2 linked regions of the Caenorhabditis elegans genome follow. The protein of the gene in region 2 purifies or fractionates together with the protein of the main gene of each other region. This does not show direct contact. Each region holds a gene or a part of one and is shown on either strand. Other genes may lie near its edges.

Region 1 (4,366 bases), on a different chromosome or scaffold from region 2:
GCAATTTTTGGTGGGAAAAGAGAGTAAGAGTGAATGGGAAAACGTGGACAAAATGATAACAGTGATAATGATAAGAACAATTGTTTGTAAACTTTCTGATTTTCGTAGAAGATTGACATGAGACTTTATGTAACTGCGGCAGCTTAATATATCTAGGTACCACTTAAAAGCGTATTGTAAATGAATATTCAGTACACTTATTATATCATAGTTCAGCAGAACTAATTTTCAGAATTGAACACTGTAAAAATTGTTGGTTTTTTTAAAATTTCTATTTTATTTCTCCATATTTTATTTCAAAATTTTCAATCAACGTTTTTCAAAAGTTTGAGTATTTCTGCAGGTTTTTGAACTCCAAGAACTTTAGAATACAAACAATGGGAACACAGTTATTAAGAAACCGTGAGATCATGAGAATGCCTACCGTTTTGGCGCGGGAATATCTCGTAGCGAAGGCTCCTAAATCTCTCGTCGCTGCATGTTCTCTCTGCTGCCGCCATTTTTGCGCCAGAAAGTAGACATTCTCAAGAACTCATGGTTTCTTAATAAATAATAAAATTAGAAAATTTCGCAGAATCAAAGAAATTTGAAGTATTTTGGAGTTAATAATAGTGCGGAGCATCTAAAAGAAAAAGTTCGATACTAATAGAGACGGGAAAGACTAATTGCCAATTTATCGGTACGGCCATATTTTACAGGCTTGTCACGCTACAAGGTATTAAACAGGCCCAAATGTAAAACATGTTTTAAAATAATTTTTATTAAATCAGGGTTCCTTTGACAACGGATTTTTCTTGCTTCGTGTTGTTTCCTCGAGCGTTGTTGCAAGTGACAGCTCATCCCGTGTCGTTTTACGAACAGTTTCTGCAAAAAATTATTCATATAAATGAATACGAATGAAGAGGAGCCCGTCAAATTTCAACCCAACTTACTTAACGTTGCCGCCGATTTCTTCTTTTTCACAGCACTCTCCATTGTGGATGGCTTCTTGTGTGGTCTAGACGATGGTTTTCTGATCACTTTTAATTGTGTTTTATCATCTTCCATCGTTGACTGAGTTTCAAGTGTTCGTTCACGGATTGTTGATGTGGCTGGCTTCAGTGTTTTTCGTGATGGTTGGTTGTGGTGAACTATTCGAGACAACAGAGGAATTCGATCGTTTGAAGTGACACGTGTCAGTTCGTCCAGGGCTGGAATTCGAATTTCAAATTTCTTAATCAAACCTCAATTAAACCAAATTTCCGCGTAAATCGCACACTCGCGTATTACGGAAACACAAAACTCTGAGAATGCGTACTGCGCAACATTTTTGACGCGCGAAATATCTCGGAGCGAATACTACAGTAATTCTATAAATGACTACTGTAGCTATTGTGTCGATTTACTCTCGTGGCTCGAATTTCAAAATGAATTAAATCATAAATCATCGAAAATGAGCCCGTAAATCGACAGCGCTACAGTAGTCATTTATAGAATTACTGTAGTTTTCGCTCCGAGATATTGTTTGTTCCCGTAATATTGTGCATCGAAACATGCTCCATATTTCAATTATATGTGTTTTGAACTTGCTCTTGAAATATGGTGTGTCTGCACATGAATTGTGTGCAAACACTCAATGCACATAATTTCACGCGCAAATTAAAATATATGGTAACTTACCATCCATTCTTTCTTTCGTCTTCCTCTTCTTTTTCTTTTCCTTTTCTTCCTTCGATCGTTTCAACGGTACCAAATATTCAATTCCAGCAGTTTCATCATTGTCGAACTGAAAATAATTTAATTGCCCAAAACAATCAGAAAATTCATGAATACCTGTTCCATAGTCTCATTATTAAAATTAGTTTCTATCGAAGCGCCTCGCTTAACAATTATACTGCCACAATTCATTGTCAGATCATCGAATAACTTGGATACATGCTTCAAATGATTGATTTCCCCTTCTTTTGCCAGTTTCAACAACTTTTTATCGTCTTCTGTCAGCTCAAAGCCACGTTCATGACACGTGTCATGATGAGCTAAAAAGCGGATTTCTCGGGAAGTGAGACGGCTGATCGGACGAACTGTGCCTCCAGCTATTCGAGATTTTGCAGTGTCCTGAAATTAAAAATTATATTCGAACGGTGGTTGCACACTTTTTCATTTCTGTGTAGTATACAGACACAACACATTAAATTTTACGAGCCTGAAAGAAAATCTTCGAATACCTTTTCCAACTTATGCATTATTTGATTGTTTGGTGGTTCGTCTCTCGGGTAAAACCAAAACCATGCGATTAAGAAGCAAACAAATTGTGCGCCAAACATGATTATTAATAATATCGACTTAAAATGTTCATCTTCTTCGCTTCCGTCCTCCTCTTGCGACGACGCCGATGTCATTTTTGATAGAAAATAAATCAATTTTTGGTTTTTTTTGAAATTGGACATTTTAGAAAAAAAACGTGTCCTTTTCTTATTTTGAAAAAATATAATTTTTATCTATTTTTTAAACATTTAGCTATAAATATTTATGAATTTCCATTTCAACCTGAATATGAAAAAGTGTCGTTTGTAATTGTATTCGTTCGACAATGTCTTCACAAAATCTTAACCAAATATTCAAATCCGCTTCAAAAGCTAAAATGCATCCCAAACTACCCAGGCAATCCCACAAAACCCTCGCCATTATCTCAACTCTCGGCCCATGTTAAATGCTAAAAATTTAAATTTCCCAAACTACAGTAACCCTACAGTACCACCAACCCTAACCTAATAATAGCAACATTTTTTCAAATTCAAATTTTCCGAAACTACGCAAATCCTACAGTACTCCTGCAATAATACCGTACTTAGCTACAAGGGAAGTATTTCAACCTAATCCCGGACTTCCAAATGAAACTTATGTCGAAGACTACCTTTAGGTTAGGTTTCCACAATTTTCAGTTACTGCTACCAACCTCACACTCGGCTTAAAGTGATTTTTGTTTGTTTATTTGGTGAATCAGTAAATTTTCTTGAGTAAGTTCACCATTGTTGGGGCATTTGCCAAAAATCAAATTATTCAAGAAGAACTTTGGAAAAATATTCCTTTAAGCAGGCATGCCATCATTTAGCAAACGAGCGGTGAAAATCTTCTGATGTGTTTTCTTGACACGATCATAAACTAGAATTTGATTATTTTTCAAGGTCTTCGAAAAAGCAAACGTTCATTTAATAATTTAGAACAGTTTAAAATCAAATTGAATGAGAAAATATGTTAAGAATTGAGTATGAGAAAGAGATCCAGATAAAAAAGACAAAATTTTGAGAATTTATCGAACACGGTAGAGCATCTTGCGTTGCATCTTTTGTTGCAAGTCTCCACGACGGACCAAATTATCGATAACCTTCTTGACAAGAGACTCTCTATAATGTTGACGAGCAACAAAGTCTTGAACAATCAAATGCTCAGAAACGTGTGTACCGATTGCGAATCTCTTCTTCATTTGCACTTCGATACGATTCAATGCTTCTTGATCAGCTGTTGAAGTAAATCCTTCGACTCCTGCCAAATTTCCAGTTGCCGCCGCTTCAATTGTTGAAACACGGAACAGACGGAGCGCTTCCTCGACGTGCTTGTCAGTGGCAAACTGCTGAAGCTCCATCTTTGCAATACTTTCAGCAATACGAACAATGGCTTCGAGTTGACGAACGGTAATCGGAATTGCCGAATTATGAGCCTTCTTTCCTGATTCTGAAAATTTATGGGTTTTCATTACAAAATGATATTTTAAACTTACTAAAAGCATCAGCATTGACAACTGGATTTCTCATCTTAACGTAGTGATTAACGAGCTTCTCAGAAGCTTGCGGAGTAAGACGTGGTCCACAGTTCAAACGAGCATATGTGACGAATTTCTTGAGGAACTCGATAGTCAAGAAACCATCCGTATCGAACATTGTCATCACACCATCTGAATCAGTTGTGGCTGTTTTTGGGACTCCTGCAATATCACGTTCTTTAGCAGCAGATGCATTCACATGAACTTCGATGACGTGCTTCGCGAGGGTCTGAAAATATTCAAAATTAAAGCTGAAAATTTAGAATTATTGGGCAAAAAAATCGGCCGTCGTGTACTACCCGTGCACAACTGTGAATTACGATTTCGCCAAGGTTTTTAGATGTTTAACATTCGAAATGGACAATATACCCCTCATTTGTATTATTCCCGGCAGAGAATTGGATTTCATTTTTTTTTAAATTATTGCTTTCTGTGCAAAGCAGGGGTATATTGCCCATTTCGAATGTTAAAATTGTAAAAAAATTAGCGAAAATGTTCCAAAATCATGCAAGCAAGCTAATGCAGTAAAATCATTCAGAAATTAATCACGACACACTAGGCGCACCC
Region 2 (4,874 bases):
TTAAATTTTGATCACTTGAAGCCTAACAAAGAAACGCAGTATAAAAGTGTTGATCGCGAAAATTTAAGCCAAAACTCTAGAAAAATTGAAAAATTGAACAGGTTTGTATTAACGAAACAAATGATTATATTAACAAATAATTAATTAATTATATTAACAAATAACAATGGTTTCTCTGAAAATTCACTTGAGAAATTTTTGTCCCCCGATCCCGAAAAAGAACACACTCGAACTGAACCATTTTTTTTTTGTAATTTTTTGTTGCAAATTTTTAAAAACCTTTTGAGAAAAGCGTTCTAAGTGAAAATTTCTTATGCGAAAAATCCCAAAAATTGAGTGGGAGTTATGTATATGCGGAAGACCAGAGGCCTGAAACTTTTTTCGCTAGAGACTAGAGCGGTCGTAAGAGAAGATAATTGCGATATTTTGAGATGAATCCATTTTTAGACTAAGATTTTTCTAATTATAAAACATTTTTAGAAATTCTTTTTCAGTATTTTTTCAATGTAGTAAAAAAGAAAAGCGTAGTCAAATCATATTTTCCCCCTATTTTTGAGTCAAACTTTTCAAAAAAGTAACTTACGCGGCTGGAATGAAGAATAAAATATAAGTGAGCATATAAATCATTGAAGTCCAATCAACTGCTTGAAACCTACAAATTCCACTTTGAGAATAAATTTTAACTGAAAAATATAAACTTACGAAACTTTATAATAATCTGAAATAATGTTTGCAATAATTGAATATTGAATCCATTGTGCTCCATTTGAACCGGACAAAAACATGAATATCACCAAAATCACCCATCGTTTCCTGAACACTTTTGGTTCAATTTTCTCTTGTTTTTCCATCTAAAAATAAATAAATATTCAATGTACGTCATTTGGAATAACTTGAGACATTTGTGAATTTTCAAGAACTTTTTTGATTAATGAGCTCCCGAATTTATGCAAATAAATGTAGTTTGATACTGGAAATTTTTTTAAGGCTTAAATTCGCGCCTACTCCCGGCTCACATTGATTTTTTTTTTCTGAAATTTTAACAAATAACTGAAAAAAGAAAGTCTCAGAGTTTGTGCCAAGATTCATAGAAAATAATTCTAAAAAATCAACTAGCAGGTAGGCAGAAAAAGTGCCTGCCTACTATATGCCTATTTGAAATGCTTGAAGCAAAAAGGAGATTCTAAACTGTTTTTGAGTTTTTCAAATCTTTTGCAAAATTTTTGAAAACTTTTTCTATTTGAAAACAAAGAAAAGTGTCAGTTAATAAGTTTTTTTAATCACTCTGTTGGAATTTTATAGAACTTACATAATTTCTGAAATTTAAATAATTAGAAAGAAAACAAAAACTCACTAAAAGGACATGATGATTATCACCATTGGAGCATCCATTGGCTCCACCATTTTCACTTGATCCACCTCCCATTTCAATCGGCTTCTCCTCCTTTTTGATACCACCAATCCGATGCTCTTTGCTCTGACGATTGCTCTGCTGGCTCGTTGTCGCCGCCGAGCAAGAGTGGGCGGAGCTTGAGCCGCGTGCTCTTACTAAGCAGGTGGGAAGGGTCTACAATTATCCTCTTGGACAATACAAATGTGTGTTGCAATAATTTTTTTCTTTTTGATGGCTTTTGTTTGAAATTTGAATACATTTGAATGCACTGGATGCTAAGACTAAAGTTGAAGCCTACATAATAGAAAATGGGCGTGGTCTGATAGTTCAAAAGTCAATAGACTGACCTCTTCTGTTTCAGCACTTTTACGTGGAGTAATGGGAGAAGACGAAACACGCGAAGAATGGGCGGAGCCTGACTCTGAGCTAGTCCATGCAATTGAACCACTTGTCGAAGGCTCAACGGGTTCTATTGGTACAGTTCTTCTCACAGGCTGAAAAATACTTTATTGAATATTTTTTCACAAGAAAAATCAAAGGGTTCTGAAAGGAAACTGACTTCAAAACATTTAGAATGTTTTAGCTAAAGCTGGTTTGCGTTTTGCAGAATTAAATTAATTTTAATAAGATGAAGTGTGTTTCTAAAACTGCAAGGCAAATTTTAAAGTTTCAAGAACATCAAAAACTAAAAGAAAAGTATTTTGAAAATGAGATTAAAAAATCATTTTGTTTTCATGTTAAAAATTGCCAGTTATGAAAAAAAAAAAATCAAAATACAAAAGCTTCACCTGTCTTAATGCATCTTTCCGCCACATTTTTCAAATATTCGATAGTTAAAATGAACTTTTACTAGATACGATCATAGTTTTTTCTATTGAGAATACCGAGTAAATGAAAAATGTTCAATTCCAATGAAAGGTAAGCCCGCAAAGTCACACGCAACGTTTCAAATTATCAAATATTAGATTTTATCTATTATATATATTTATCAATCAGTTTTGAATTATAGAAAGGATAGTTAGATAATCACTGATGTCTGACAGAAAACATTTTATCGAATTTTTGTATTTACAAATGAAACTGTATTATTAAAAAAAAAAGACGATATAGATTCCTACAAAAAATTATTTCAGTCTTTGAAAAAATCCAATAAAAAATCCAGAATGCCTGTCTACTACAAAACTCCTAAATTATTTGATTGAAAATAATTAAAAAACTACACTGTAAAATTTCAGATCAAAATTAGCCCGCTTCGGTGCGGTTACATTTTCCGGGAGAAGCTGCTTCAGTTTAAATTTAAATACTCAGATTTTTTGTGAGTTCTCCAATTTTTTAATCAAATTAATGTAATTTTATAAAAAATTTGAAAAATGAAAGCTTACCCCTTTAAGAATAAAATCTCGGATAAATTGAGCTTTTCCGCCCATTTTTTCCAGAGTTTTTAAAAAATTAATTTAGCAAAAAATAAACTATAGTATAGAATATTGCAGCACGAGGGAAAAAATAATAACTGATAATAAATCGTCGACTGCGTAATTCAACCAGTTTATCATCAGTTTCCAAAATGTACTGAAAATGATCAGAATGTGAACTCTGAAACAATGATAGAAGTCACATGAAATTGGAAACTAATGGTAAAAACTTTTTGAAAAGTATAGAAATAATAATAATAATTCAAACAAAAACCGCATGGTTTTGTTTTTGTATAACGGTCTATGTCTTCTTTTCTATCAATGAATGAAAATTGTGACTAACACTTTTTGATACTTGTTCTAGAATACCTGTATTATGGTTTCTCTATTTAAAACTTCAGAAATTCGGAAGAATCTGGAAGTTAAAATGATTTCTTACATTTAGAAAACTTTATAGGGCCTTAACTGTGATTCCTAAAATTATGGAAATGTATTTTTTGGAAACTTGACAGAAAATCAGTTTTTAAAAACTAGATTCAGTACAAAATGTTCATAATAACGTCTGGAAGTATTACAAATTTTACTATGAAAAAAAAAACAATTATTGAGTATAGAAAAAATACAGAAAATTTAACAACTGTCAAATTTAAGTTCATTCCAAAATATAAACATTACAAAAACAACAATAAATCAAAAATTAACGTCGAGTACAATTTACAGAAATGGAGATTTATTTTTTTTTTAATATTACCCAGACGCAAACAGTTTCATGTAAAGCCAGGTTATACGGTCTCGACACGACCGAAAAATGTTAAGCATATGTTGCAAAAAGAGTCTCCGTCTTTAAGGAGTACTGTAGTTTTTACTTGGATCTATTTATTATTAAAACTAAATTAAATTTTGAATTTATAAATGTGAAAGAAAAAGTTAAACATCCAGAAAATAAAAGTAGTGAAATATAAGTTCTGAAAAAAAATTTAATCGCGAAGCGGCTATTATTGAAAACTACTGTCAAGACGCTCATGTTTTTTGCAAAATTCATATTAAAAAAATTCCAAAAAACAATTTTTTTTAAAGCTTGATATTTTATTGTTTTACAGCCCTTTAAGAAGCATATGATGGAAACAAATATATACCACCTATGAAGTTAAAAATTTGAGTTTTTCGGCTAGATGTGGCTAGATGCTTTTTGTAAATATTTCAAAAAAAAAAATCGGTACTCATTTTCAATGCTAATTTTGCTCGGTTAAATGGGAGTCAATTTTTCATATTATCAGCTAAGGATTTTCTATGTTTTCACTACATATTTCAAAAAATATTTAAATTTTAAAAAAACATTTTTAAAGCTATGACTTTGATTGAGAACTTAGTGATTTCACGGTGGGTTATAAATTGTTTTCTAAAGTACGGTATGAACCAAAACTAAACCATTCCAAAGAGAGAAAGTCAGAGTCACAAACTTTGAAAAGTCATAAAGTAATTGTGTGGAAAGAAGTAAAAAAGATTATTAGAGAAGAAGAGACGGAGAGAAATCACCAAAGGATGGGAATCTCTTTCAAATTGAAAATTCCCAAAATTTATTGAACTGTAACAAATCTGCTTACTTCTTTTTAATACTACAATATTATGATATATATGAAAAGAAATTCTTTGGCCTGTTGAACATTTTTTTTTGATTTTAAATTTTCTCAGGAAGAAAAAATAGAGGGCCATTATGAAATTATTTAAAGTTTTTTTTAAAATTGTTTCGCCCGTCTATGCATTTGCCAGAAAACCGAAAAATTTATATTAATAATCGAGGAAAATGTAAGAAAATGAGGAAAAAAAACGATTCTGAAAAAAATAGTGAATGATTATTTGTCAATTGTGTTTCATCCCAGAAAACAACTTTCTTTTTTTTTCAGAGTATATTGGATCATTATCGGCTCTCATACAGTAATCCAAAGTGACAGTTTCTGTCTGATGGGACAACAGTGAGGTTGTTGTGTGAAAGAGAAAAGGTGTGAGTATGGAAAATGGACGAAAACTAGCCGGAGAACATGGAAGTTTTGGGATATGGCCTAGTGGTG

Evidence for each region.
Region 1: the proteins of C09D4.1 (region 2) and R10E4.3 fractionate together in Caenorhabditis elegans (co-fractionation; one large-scale study listed by BioGRID). This does not show direct contact.

Annotation. Positions count from the first base shown.
Region 1 is NC_003281.10:4,285,095-4,289,460, forward strand, and holds R10E4.3 (uncharacterized protein), read right to left. Parts: upstream 2,386-4,366; 5' UTR 2,379-2,385; coding exon 2,205-2,378; intron 2,095-2,204; coding exon 1,813-2,094; intron 1,766-1,812; coding exon 1,660-1,765; intron 1,191-1,659; coding exon 933-1,190; intron 865-932; coding exon 767-864; 3' UTR 747-766; downstream 1-746. Other genes in the region: DNA replication licensing factor mcm-5, read right to left, coding at 3,290-3,711, 3,758-4,028.
Region 2 is NC_003279.8:5,495,863-5,500,736, reverse strand, and holds the start of C09D4.1 (putative MFS-type transporter C09D4.1), read right to left. Parts: upstream 3,059-4,874; 5' UTR 2,821-3,058; coding exon 2,776-2,820; intron 1,888-2,775; coding exon 1,741-1,887; intron 1,568-1,740; coding exon 1,355-1,567; intron 852-1,354; coding exon 703-851; intron 653-702; coding exon 584-652; intron 1-583.